3 linked regions of the Neurospora crassa OR74A genome follow. The protein of the gene in region 1 purifies or fractionates together with the protein of each later gene. This does not show direct contact. Links are inferred from orthologs where the notes say so. Each region holds a gene or a part of one and is shown in the gene's direction. Other genes may lie near its edges.

What was found. The genes of interacting proteins can lie anywhere in the genome.
Region 2: the proteins of rpn-1 (region 1) and rpn-8 purify together in Saccharomyces cerevisiae (affinity purification with mass spectrometry; 6 studies listed by BioGRID, with this or other methods). This does not show direct contact. The link is inferred for Neurospora crassa OR74A from reciprocal best matches to the Saccharomyces cerevisiae genes RPN1 and RPN8.
Region 3: the proteins of rpn-1 (region 1) and rpn-12 purify together in Saccharomyces cerevisiae (affinity purification with mass spectrometry; 6 studies listed by BioGRID, with this or other methods). This does not show direct contact. The link is inferred for Neurospora crassa OR74A from reciprocal best matches to the Saccharomyces cerevisiae genes RPN1 and RPN12.

What each region holds. Positions count from the first base shown.
Region 1 is NC_026504.1:2,086,568-2,090,700, forward strand, and holds the start of rpn-1 (26S proteasome regulatory subunit rpn1), read left to right. Parts: upstream 1-1,333; 5' UTR 1,334-1,716; coding exon 1,717-1,846; intron 1,847-1,918; coding exon 1,919-1,989; intron 1,990-2,055; coding exon 2,056-4,133. Other genes in the region: rbg-40 (serine/threonine-protein kinase RIO2), read right to left, coding at 1-873.
Region 2 is NC_026502.1:3,116,809-3,121,125, forward strand, and holds rpn-8 (26S proteasome regulatory subunit rpn-8), read left to right. Parts: upstream 1-1,233; 5' UTR 1,234-1,502; coding exon 1,503-1,692; intron 1,693-1,769; coding exon 1,770-2,041; intron 2,042-2,137; coding exon 2,138-2,734; 3' UTR 2,735-3,034; downstream 3,035-4,317. Other genes in the region: NCU01548 (hypothetical protein), read right to left, coding at 304-313, 395-493, 552-733; NCU16568 (hypothetical protein), read right to left, coding at 3,035-4,317. UniProt on the Saccharomyces cerevisiae protein: Acts as a regulatory subunit of the 26S proteasome which is involved in the ATP-dependent degradation of ubiquitinated proteins.
Region 3 is NC_026507.1:2,809,622-2,813,966, forward strand, and holds rpn-12 (26S proteasome non-ATPase regulatory subunit 8), read left to right. Parts: upstream 1-1,409; 5' UTR 1,410-1,764; coding exon 1,765-2,352; intron 2,353-2,496; coding exon 2,497-2,778; 3' UTR 2,779-3,093; downstream 3,094-4,345. Other genes in the region: NCU10066 (coatomer alpha subunit), read right to left, coding at 3,259-3,501, 3,574-4,345. UniProt on the Saccharomyces cerevisiae protein: Acts as a regulatory subunit of the 26S proteasome which is involved in the ATP-dependent degradation of ubiquitinated proteins. Necessary for activation of the CDC28 kinase.

The sequences.
Region 1 (4,133 bases):
CCTCTTGATGCATTCGACATCGCGGTCAAAGTACATCTCGGCGTTTACGTGGTCCATAGACACCATTTGTGGGAAGTCGATAATGACTGGGACAAGGGTTACCGTCTCCGTCTCCTTCTCCTCGCCGTCCTCGATCGTGTACTTGGTGGTCCGCTCCTCTTTGATCAAAATGTTGAACTCGTTGAAATCACCATGGATGAGCCCGTGCTTGGCCAATCGAAGGATGAGGTCGATAAGCTCAGCGTAGAGGCTCGCGGGGTCTGGAACCGAGGAGACCTGTCTAAGTGGTAGGGACTCGACCAGGCTCATGACGATAGTGTGTCGGGACTGGGAAATCGGTTCGGGAACGGGAAAGCCTTCTTCTTGGAGAGCCTGCATGAAGGCATATTCCTTCATGGCCGCAAGCCGCGAGAGATACATCCATGAGCCGCCTTGCCGGTTGCGCAAGTAGTCGCGGTTGGACTTGACGGTACGGAAGGAAATGCGGCCTAGGCGATGGATCTTGAGAATCTTCTGCTTGCCGGTCTTGTCGGCTACGATCATGATGTCGGATTCCTTGCCAACACCCACACGACTGCCAACGCTGTAGACGACATCTTTCGAGGAGTGGGTGTGTAGGGCCAGATAGTCAAGACCGCCGTAGGTCAGTCGGTAGCCGTCGTACTTGGCCTCCTTCATGCGTCCGATGAGGCCAGACTTGGCAAGGGTCGCTATGCTCTTGTGAACACCACTGGCACCGCCCTTGAGACGGGCAATTCTCTCGATCAGAGGGGTCGGGACGAGCTCGTGGTTCTTGCTGCCCATCTCAACGGCAGTCAAGACTCTCCAGTCTTCTGCCGTGAGATGGCGTAAAACTCTGGTGTCCAAAAACATGATTGTGTGTTTCTTTTTGGATGTTTTTTGTTTTTTCCCCTCAGGTGATTGTCGGCCTAATTGCTGTGAGAGATTTTCTGATGTTGTATTGATCCAAGAGAGCTATTAGGTTGCTGTCTACGACGCTCTCGTCAAAGTCAAAGTCAAGGTGGGTGAAGCGCAAAGCTGATGTCCAGAATGGAAAGTGGGCGTCCCCCAAATTCCAAATGCACGGTTGCGATAACATCTTCCCGATAAGATAGGGCTGGCCGTGGGCTCCATTCGCTGAGCTGTGCCTGCCCGGTCAAGCGCCAGGTCCAGGCCAGTAGCTTATCTTATCAGAAGCTTGGGGGGAGCGGAATTTGTATCTTCCAGGCTCTGATGACGCCTCGTCCCCACCGAGGCTTCCAGACCCACTTGAGGCGGGCAGCATTGGATCGCAGGGGCGTTCTCAGCCAGACGGGGGAGCTTCAGGCGGCAAGCGAGTCGCGTAACCACCATCGGAGCTCCCTGGCGTTAGTACCGTAACTGCCACTGACCTTTGCTGGCTTTCAGCAACTGAGGTGCTTCTGGGCGAACCTGCAAAAGCTCCAACCTCCAAAACCGTCACCTGAACAACATAACAACCTCCAAACAACCGCAGCCAGCTCATCCACTTTTGATTTTGACATTCTGCTCACGACTGGAGCTCAAGTTCCTGTCGCTCAAGCAAACTCGGTGACAAAACTTGAACATTTCTTGCAGCAGCGAACGCCACCGCCGCGTCCACCTACCCCGGCCAGCCCAACCGACCTTGGTTTCCCCTCCAACTGGACCCATCGGCTCCGCGAATCCTCCCACCTACAACCATCACGGCCAGTAATCATGGCGCAAGAAAGCGACCTGTCCAAGACGGCCGATAAGGGCAAGGGAAAGGCCGTCGATGACGAGAAGAAGCACCAAGATGTCGATGGAAAGACCCCCGCAAACGGAAAGAAGGAGGAGGAACAGAATGGTGGGTTTCTCGGCCACTCCGACCGACTTGAGGTATCGGCGCCGGGCTTCTGCTGACAGCGCTTTGCGTTAGCTTCCGAGGAACTCAGTGAAGAGGATCAGCAGCTCAAGAGCGAGCTTGAGATGCTCGTTGAGCGGCTAACGGTTGGTGCTTCGCAATGACGTGATACAGGCTGAAGACCGGCTTCTCTAACAGTACAATGTCTTCAGGAATCCGATGCGACCCTCTACAAGCCGGCCCTCGAGGCCATGAAGAACTCTATCAAGACATCCACATCCTCCATGACGGCGGTACCGAAGCCGCTCAAGTTCCTGCGCCCGCATTATGAAACCATGACGAAACTCTACGACGAGTGGCCCGCTGGCGATGATAAGTCATCTCTCGCAGATGTTCTATCGGTGATCGGTATGACATACTCGGACGAGGACCGCCAGGATACTCTGAAATACAGACTTCTTTCCCCAACACAGGACATTGGCTCGTGGGGTCATGAGTACGTTCGCCATCTCGCCCTCGAGATTGGCGAGGTCTACGCCAAGCGCATAGCCAATGATGAGCCGACTCAAGAGCTGGTCGATCTTGCCCTGGTTCTGGTGCCGCTCTTCCTCAAGAGCAACGCTGAAGCCGATGCCGTCGATCTGATGAGTGAGCTCGAGATCATCGAGGAGCTTCCCAAGTTTCTCGACGAGAACACCTATTCGAGAGTCTGCCTGTACATGGTCTCCATGGTCAACCTCCTAACCTATCCTGACAACGAGACGTTCCTTCGCGTGGCGCACAGCATCTACAAGAAATACAACCAGCACACCCAAGCCATGGTGCTTGCGATTAGACTCAACGATCTTGGACTCATCGAGAAAGATTTCGAGGCGGCGGACGAGGATCCTGCGCTTCGCAAGCAGCTCGCTTTCCTTATCGCGCGCCAGGGCATTCCATTGGAGTTTGAAAGGAGCAATGATGACGACGAAAAGATCTACGAGTGCCTTTCCAACCAGAAGCTGTCGGAGTATTTCAAGTCGCTCGGGAAGGAACTCAACATCTTGGAGCCAAAAACGACTGAGGATATTTACAAGAGCCACCTCGAAAGCAGCCGTGTTGCTGGTATGACCAACTTTGATTCTGCCCGACACAATCTTGCCGCCGGCTTCGTCAACGCTTTTGTCAATGCCGGCTTTGGGAGTGACAAGATGATGCTCGTTGGTAAAGACAAGGACAGCTGGGTGTGGAAGACCAAGGATGAGGGTATGATGTCTACAGTGGCGTCGCTGGGAACCCTGCTCCTTTGGGACGTCGAGAACGGTCTTGACCACGTCGACAAGTATACTTATCTCGAGGAGGAGCAAATCCAAGCTGGCGCATACCTCGCGATCGGTATCATGAATACTAACGTTAGGACGGACTCCGAGCCCGCGATGGCCCTGTTGGCTGATCCCGACAAGCTTGCGCACAAGAACCCGCTCATCCGCGTAGCTACCATTATGGGTCTCGGACTGGCATACGCAGGGTCCTGCAAGGAGGAGCTTCTCTCGTTCTTGGTCAACATTATCAGCGACCCTGAGGAGAGCATGCAGGTGTCGGCTATGGCTGCCCTGGCCTGCGGTATGATCTTTGTCGGCTCCTCCAATTCCGAAGTCAGCGAGGCCATCGTGACTACCTTGTTGGACGAAGAAAGTGGAAGCCGCCTCAATGACAAATGGTCCAGGTTCCTTGCGCTTGGCTTGGGTCTCCTCTATTTTGGTCGCCAGGAACAGGTGGACGTTATTCTTGAGACGTTGAAGGCGGTTGAGCACCCTATGGCGAAGCCAACTGCTGTTCTTGCTGAGATTTGCGCCTGGGCTGGCACCGGTGCCGTCCTCAAGATTCAGGAGCTCCTTCACATTTGCAACGAGCACATTGAGGATGGAGAGGAGAAGAAGGGCGAGGAGTTGCTTCAGGCCTATGCCGTTCTGGGTATTGGCTTGATTGCCATGGGCGAAGATGTTGGACAGGAAATGGTTCTCCGCCATTTTGGTCACCTTATGCACTACGGCGAAGCTAACATCCGACGAGCGGTGCCGCTGGCTATGGGTCTTATCAGCCCCAGCAACCCTCAAATGAAGGTTTACGACACTCTGTCACGGTACAGCCACGACAATGACAATGAAGTGGCCATCAACGCCATTTTTGCTATGGGTCTCCTGGGTGCCGGTACGAACAACGCTAGACTTGCCCAGCTGCTCCGTCAGCTGGCTAGCTACTATCACAGAGATCAGGAGTCTTTGTTCATGGTCCGTATCGCACAAGGTCT
Region 2 (4,317 bases), on another chromosome or scaffold:
CGTATGATGACAGTACCAGGTTCTTGAGTTCCTGAGACCCAAACCTCGACGCTTCATGACCATGATGTTGATAAACACATAATCTATTGAACGTAAAGATGCTTGCCAAACGTTGGGACATTGAGCCCGTCCGTCAGATGTTGATATCATGACAGTCCATCTCCATCAATCCATTTCCAAAAACGCCAAGACCATGACTTACAGTCGGTAAAAGGCAACAACTTTGCCCAGTACAGTTGCACCTGGGTATCATTTCCAACACACTCTCTTTCGGTCTCTCTTTCTCTCTGACACCGTCGTACCTCAGATGTCGCTGTGTAGACTCGAATGGTTAATTTTCTTTTGTTGTCTGCGCTCGTCCCAGGTGTCGCCAAACAATCAGCTGGCCGCTTACAACGTGCTGACGACCTTGTCCTCCTCGATAGTGGCATAGCTCTCGCTGGAGGCGGAAACCGACTCGAGTGTCTTTGCGTTAACCTTGGCAGAGAAGCCCCTGGATAAAAGGGTTAGCAAGAACACCCGAACCAACATGACGGTGTCCGAAAGCATACTTCATAAGGGTGTACTCGTGGGTAATGACGCCACCGTCATCGAGAATGGCCTTCTTGTCCTGCTGAATCACCGAGTCGGGAGTGTTCTCCTTGTAGGTGATGATGACCGACTTCTGGATGTCAACGGCAATGGCGCCGGAGACGAGGGCAAGGGCGCCGAGAATGAGACCGGAGAACTTCATGTTTGAGATAGATTTTGGTTATTTTTCTTTCTTTGAGGTTATGTTGGGCCGGACGGGTAGAGGTAAGTATAAAGTATGGCGTCACGTTGTTGGGCAGACGACGGATGGATAGGTGTACGGATGGGTTCGTTCGAATTAAAAGGCGGGAGGATCCCTCGACTTTATGCCGATCCTAGGTCTCTGTCAGAGGCGCAACGACCAAAAGGGTGTCATGACACGCGCCAAGGAGTCTTCCAGCGCATAAAGAGACCCCCCTTTCTGCGGTCTCAACTTCCTCAGGAGGAAGGTCGCTATAAAAGCCCCTGTAAGTTCAGGCGGAGGGTACAGACTGCGTACCTAGTACCTCTAGTATTCGTACCGGCTACTGATTAGATAAGCCCTTTGTTATGTCACCGCGGCAGTGGCACAGGACAGAAGGCTGAGGCCCCACCGCCCAACTCAAGTTCAAGTGGAAGGTACTAGGCGCTAACCTGATTGGGTACTCACCTTCCAGCAAGTGAGGCAGCTAGCCAGTGACGACGGCGAGACCAGACCACTGCAACTACAGCAGTTGGAGCTTCGAGGCCACTAACAACTGACGCGGGATACTTGCTTGCTATACGTACATCGACGACCAAAACATCCATCATACCCTCCAGCCCGCCTTCCTTCTTCTACCCCACGAAATACCACCCGACCTCCCGCCACGCCCACCAAACACACCAGCCATCACGCCTCCGACGACGACGACGACAACGACGACGACGACGCCTCGAATCCAGCTCTCGCCATGCCCGCCACTACTGCGGAAACGCTCTCCCTGGTGAACCGCAGCGTCTCGGTTGCGCCGCTGGTTCTGCTCTCAGTTGTCGACCACTACAACCGTACCCAAGCCAACAAGTCCAAGAGCAAGCGTGTCGTCGGCGTGCTATTAGGCCAGAATGATGGAAAGAATGTTCGCGTGTCCAACAGTTTCGCGGGTGCGTAGTCTCTGCTGCGGAAGCTTGCCTGGTTGCCCCGCGCCCAGGTGAATATTCGGCTAACTCTGGTGATGCAGTTCCCTTCGAGGAGGACGACAAGGACCCCTCAGTCTGGTTCCTTGACCACAACTACGTCGAGTCCATGAACGACATGTTCAAGAAGGTCAATGCGCGCGAGAAGCTAATAGGCTGGTACCATTCCGGCCCCAAGCTACGGGCTTCCGATCTCGACATCAACGAGCTGTTCAAGCGCTACACTCCCAACCCGCTTCTGGTTATTGTCGATGTCCAGCCCAAGGAGACGGGCGTTCCTACAGATGCCTATTTTGCCGTTGACGAGATCAAGGATGTATGTCTTTTAGAAACGCCGTCGCGTTTCCACTTGTTCCTACTCAGCCTCGTCCAAGTTACAGCTGCTAACTATACTTGTGTGTGACTACCACAGGACGGCACCACTACATCCAAGACTTTTGTCCACACTCCCTCCATCATCGAGGCCGAAGAGGCCGAGGAAATCGGCGTCGAGCACCTCCTTCGCGACATCCGTGACGTAGCCGTCGGCACACTATCCACTCGCATCACCAACCAGATGCGCTCGCTGCAAGGCCTCCACCACCGCCTCCGCGACATCCAAGCATATCTCCAAAAGGTCCTTGACGGCCAGCTGCCCGTAAACCACGCCATCCTCGGCAACCTCCAGGACGTCTTCAACTTGCTCCCCAACCTCTCGACGCCCAAGTCCGGTCCAGGCGCTACTGGAACCAACGCCGACAGCGAGCTCAACCACGCCATGAGCATCAAGACCAACGACCAGCTCATGGCCATCTACCTCAGCAGTCTGATCCGCGCCATCACTGCGTTCCACGACCTGATCGAGAACAAGATCCAGAACAGGCAGCAGCAGGAGGAGAACGACGCCAAGAAGAAGGAGGGAGAAAACGGCGAGAAAAAGGAGGGCGCCGACAAGAAGGAGGGTAGCCCGGCGGCGGCAAATGGTGAAAGCAAGGAGAAGGAGAACAGTCCGAAAGAGAAGAAGAAATAAGCGAGACGTGACGAAGTGAAAGAGGGAACAGGAAGGCGAGCAACGGGGTGGATGACGGGGCGCAACGGACCCGGCCGTAGATGATACGAAATCAATCAAATCAGCATGAATCACGTTTGTGTACGGAATCAAACATAAGAGAGACACTTTCACACATAGAAAGAGGGCTGCTCAAGGTCAAGGATGGGATCTTGGGCGATTGTTAATAATACTATTTTACTAACAAGTTGGTTTGTTGACTGCGGTTCGCCAGTAACAGAAAAACTACCTGTCTATCACAGACCCTCTACTCTAGACTTACTATACATCAGCAACAATGCCGGCCATTTCCTCTCTACTCACCATCCGCTCTGTCACATACCTCCCCAACGCCCTCGTCCACTTATCAGCCAACAGACAGGCCAGCAGGTGTTTGCAAACGGGCGGTACGCTCGAGTGATCTCCGACATTGAAGAGGGTCATCCCGCCAAAGGTCCAGCCTGCACTTCCTTTGTTGTCTCTTTCTCTCTTTTCTTGTAGCTCTTCTCCTCCTGTTTCTTTTGCATCATCTCCTGCTTCTGCCTCCGAGACACACGCAAACGCAAACGCAGCGCAGGTACAGTTCCATGCCTCCAGGCTAACCATGTACCGCTGTATTCGGTAGTCTCGCTCTCGGTCTGCTTCGCCGCCGCCACCACCTGATGGGATACCCTCGGTGTCTGCTGCGTCTCCATACAGCCCGGAGAGATTGCTACTTGGATACTTTCGTTTCCGCTTCGGGTGGACGTTGAGGAACTGGGAAGAGCGTACCAGATAGAACTCTGGAGGTGGCCGTGGCCGGGGATGATGTTCGACTTTTGCTTCTGTCGTGGACTCCTCCTCCACCAGTAGTGACTTGTGGTGGTGGTTTTTCTTTTTAGCCTTTCCACCATCCTTGGTCTCATCCTCAGCCGCCGGCGGCGGACTTGTTACATCCCCGTCGTCGTCGTCGTCGTCGTCGTCGTCGTCGTCGTCGTCGTTCTTCTTGTTGTCGTCGTCCCCTTCTTCCATGACCACATCCACATCCATATTCATATTCTCTTCTTTCATCTGCTCCTTCTGCCTCCCTTCCTCCTCTTCCTCCTCCTCCTCCTCCTCCTTCTTCTTCTTCTCTTTCACTAGCGCTGCCGCTACCCCCTCCCCAGCAGCACACCTCCTCAAAATGACCCGTTCAACCAACCCCCGCTCCAAAACCTCCAACCCTGGCAACACCACCCCCGGAAAGAGGACATGTAGGGTGATGATCAAATGTCGGTATTCAGGCGGTACCAGCTTAAGGGGATTCGCTTGACCTCCAGCAGGAATCTTTATCTTGTTCATGTTCTTCTTGTTCCTGATGGTTACGTCATCATCATCATCATCTTCATCTTCTTCTTCTTCTTTCTTCCCTTCGTCACCTTCCTCTTTGAGGATCTGGAGTAGTTGTTTCCTCCTGATTGTCGTTTCTGTTTCTTCTGTTGCTGGTGGTACATCGGCGGCTTTGGGTTGAGGTTTGGACCCGGGCCCGGGTGCGGGTTTGTGTATCTGGATAGGTGGCTCGTCGAGCAGAGGAATGTTGGAGATGG
Region 3 (4,345 bases), on another chromosome or scaffold:
TATAATTATACTTATTCTATATAATATTAATATTAATTATAGTAATTCAATTCGCAAATAGAAGCGGCTTAATTTTAAGTAATCTAATAATATATATAACGCTCGCGATTATTATAATATTAATAAGAATAAAGTTATTATAAGAATAATTTAAGGACGAATTTAAATTAGGACCGGCAAATATTTTTTAAGGAGGGGGCTCAATAATAGCGGAGATTATATAAATTATTTAAGATTTTCTTACAATTACTATTACTACCCGAAGTAGCTTCGTAATAGCGGGTACTGTTACTAAAAATAATTTTATAATAAAAGGGACTATAGGGGTTGCCCGAAATAGAATATTAGACACTTTAATAAACGAATTAATAAGCAATAAAAATAAAAATAGACAATCTTAGTAGAATAACCGCTTTACCTTCTATACTAATGTAGGCCGGTAAACGGAAGATATTCGTATCTCTTTATCCTTATTATTTTTAATTATATTAATTATTATATTTATAAATAAATCCCCTATATTATCCCCCTCCTTTTTATCCTCCTCCTTATCCTCCTCTTTATCCTCCTCTTTATCTTCCTTATTATTATCCTCTATAAATTCTTATTCTTACTCATCCTCCTTATTATTATCCTCTACAAACTCTTACTCTTACTCATCCTCCTACCCTTATCCATCATCCAAACTAATCCTAAAATAAATATTAAAAATTTTAATCGTCTTTAAGGGAGGGCGCTTAAACTTAAATAGAATAATCCTTAGACTATATTTCGAAGTCGGCGTTAGGGTCTTTAATATAATCTTACAGGAGCTAAACAGCTTAGGCGCAACAATATTCTTCTTAGAAGGCAGCTTCTTTAGGATAAGAGCAGCCTTAGAAGTTAGCTTAGAAGTAGGAACAACAAGGGCAACCTTCTTTACAATCTTAAGAATAACCTTCTTTAGAGTAGGAATAGGTTCGACGGAGGGGGTAATAGCCTTACTTTTACCCTTCGAATTAACAGTAGGAAGCCTTACTTCCTCCAGCTCGGACTTAAAGTCCGCTACTTTATAACTCTTTTTACATTACTATAGAGGGTTCTTCCTTATAAGAGAGGATAATAGAAGTTATAAATCGTTAACAGCTTTACAATCCCGGTCAATATCCACCGCCTAACTAATATAATACTTCCTACCGAACGCTACGACGGCGGCGGCGGTAGCGGCAACCCGGGGGTCGGTCTTCTTAGTAGTAGTACAAAATATAATAAATTACAGCAGGTAATTACGGGCGCACAAGTATAAATAGCTTCGTTGTTAATAGAATTAATTGATTTTGACTATCTACCAGGCTCGCCAGCGACTCGACAGCTAGCCAGATGATGGGGGTGCAAAGAGGGTCTGGCGTTTGGCGGTGGATACGAGGGTCTGGCGTTTGGCGGTGGGAACGTGACGCCCCCAAGACAGCGAGCATCCAACCTTCAGCCTCGACACCAAACTACGTACCTACATCCACTGCCTCGTTTCCCATGACAAGCCATAACTATCAACAAAATCCCGTCGACAAGCCATAAACCATCGCCGGTCTATTTAGTACCACAACAATATCCACTCGGAATCAGAATACACATACGCGACGCATTTACCCAACCATCACATCCACTTGCCGCCCGCGATAGCTTCAACAACCACCTAGAAGCTAAAACAACAAACGAACCTCGACGTGCGGCAACCCCAGATTATCACCACCACAACACCACAACCAGACACCACAACCGCCCAACATGGCAGAACGACAACTCACCCAAATCCTCACCCAACTCCAGACCTCCGCCTCCTCCCTCTCCTACACCGACTCCTCCGCCCTCCTCTCCAAAGCCAAGCTCTTGCTCCTCCAACTCAACGCGCTGACCCCGACCGCGCCCGGCTCCGCTTCCAACCCCTCCCTCTTCTCTCTCGCCCGCCAAGTCTACGAGCAAGGTGCCCTGGCCTCGATCCGCGCCAAGAACCCCGACGCCTTTTTGCGCTACGTCAGCCAGCTCCAAGGGTTCTACGAGCTCGAGAGTACTGTCGGTACCGGTGCCGCTGGTGGCAGGATTGCCGGTGCGGACGCAAACAGGGAGGAGAAGAACAAGGTCACGGGCTTGTATCTGCTGCTGCTGTTGACGCAGGGACAGTATGCCGAGTTCCATAGCGAGCTGGAGGCGCTGAGCACGAGGCTGGGTGGCGCGACGCGCGAGCTGGAGGCGGATAGATATCTCGGGTATCCCATCAAGCTGGAGAGGTGGCTGATGGAGGGGAGCTATGATCGTGTGTGGAAGGCAATGAAGAAGGGCGAGGTTCCTTGTGAGGAGTATGGAGTTTTTTCCGAGGTTCGTGGGTTTTCTTTTATTGCGTCTTGCTTTCTCTACCTTTTCCCCCTAGGTCCTTCTCTCTCGCTCTCCCCCAAGCAACGATATCACGATTAACTATCTGTACCACATCAATCACTAACCACCGCATCTTACTGTCAACAGATCCTCACTTTCCAAATCCGCTCCGAAATCGCCTCCTCCTCCGAGCGCGCCTACCCCTCGCTTCCCATCTCCTCCACCAAGTCGCTCCTCTTCCTCGAGTCCGAGGGCGAAGTGGTCGAGTTCGCCCGCTCCCGCGGCTGGGTACTCAAGGACGGCCACATCTACTTCCCGTCTGCTGAGCCGACGACGGAGGAGGCCGGTGCCGAGCAGGAGAAGCCCTTCAGCCGGTTGATCATTGAGAATACGCTGGGCTATGCTAGGGAGTTGGAGACGATCGTCTAAACAGTAGAAAAACAACAAAGTGGCTGGCCGGTGTGGTATGGGTTGGGTTGGGTTGGTTTATGCAAGCGTTCTTAAACGATGGTCCTTAGAGATCTAGCTACATAGGCAGAACAGAGGCCACGTACAGATACACTACTTAACATTGTGTTCCATGTGTCGCCTATATGTATACAAAAACATGATACATAATATTACGGCTTGCGTCTGGCATGGTATTATCTAACTGACAATTCATGCGACCACGACTTTCTGTTCGGATTATAGCACACGAACTTACTTGGTAGCAGGCAGTAATTGTTATGCAACAGGCGCGTCCAAAATGGTTTTGTCTTTCCTTTTCTCTTCTCCCCTGTTCTTCCTGCAGAAGAAAGCAAGAAACGCGATCATTATACCTACTTTGACTGTACTTTAACTACTACTTTACTTGTCATCAAAACCCCCATCATCGTGTAGCGCCAACCGCATACAAACCCACCCCTTTTAAGCAAACAGCTTCAGGCCACTACCGTGCTTTCCGACCTCGCAAACCTCGCAGACTGTGCACACCGTGCCCTTGTACTTGGTGTGGTACTTGGCTCCGTCAAATGCGCACTCCTCGTAAGGGGTACCGCTGTAGATGGGCGTGAAGCTGGCAGCGCAGATCTCAAACTCGGCAAACTGATCGAACTCGATCTCCACGGCGTCATGGGGGTTGCGCTCGCATTGCGCCTTGGTTCTCTTGGCCTGTTATTTTCAAATATGTCAGTGTCTCTACCAAAGGAGCAAAAGGATAAGGTTATGTAGGTTATCACTTACACTCTCGGTGATCTTGGTGGCTCCTCCGTTGGCCAATATCCTGTTAGCGAAGCTAAGGGCAGAGCTGTAGTTCTTGCTCCGCACAGCCAGGTTCATTGCGTTAAGCAAGGCAAGCTGGCGATGGGGAACCTCGATCTTGGGAATGGTGAAGTAGGCCGACAGTTCCAAGCTCCGCTTCTGGAGCGAGGGATCGCTGTTGACCTGGTCCGGAGAACCGAGTTGCCTGCGGGCCAGCTCAATGGACATGGCAACCGAGTACTCGCAGGCTGAAGCGATGAGCTTCTTGGCCTCAGCCACCTCCCCATCACTGCCTACAGCGTTGACAAGGACGGAGTGCAGAATGCCCTTAAAGATCTTGACACCATCCTCGAGCTTGTTCGCCCTCATCGCGTCATAACCGCGCTGCAGGTCATTAGAAGCAAGGTACTCGAGGTCCCTGGGGATGATAGGGAGAACCTTCCTGGGATCCGTCTCCTCGGGATTCCTGCGGACGTAGTTGACGAGAGGGTCCAGGCTAGCCGCGGCGGGGAGATAAGTCTTGGATGCCTGGTAAACCTCCAAGAAGCGAGGCTTGAGCGGAGCAAAGTTGACAGCGCCAACCTGGCGGTTGAGCAGCTGCATTGCCGACTCAAAGGAACCACCAGCGACGTGATCAACTGCGAGCGGTGAGTTCCGGGACCACAGATCCGCTTCACTGCTTGCAGCACCGCCGGCATCCGCGCTTTCCACGTTGACGAAGCCCTCCTCGACTTCCGGAACAATGTCATCGCCC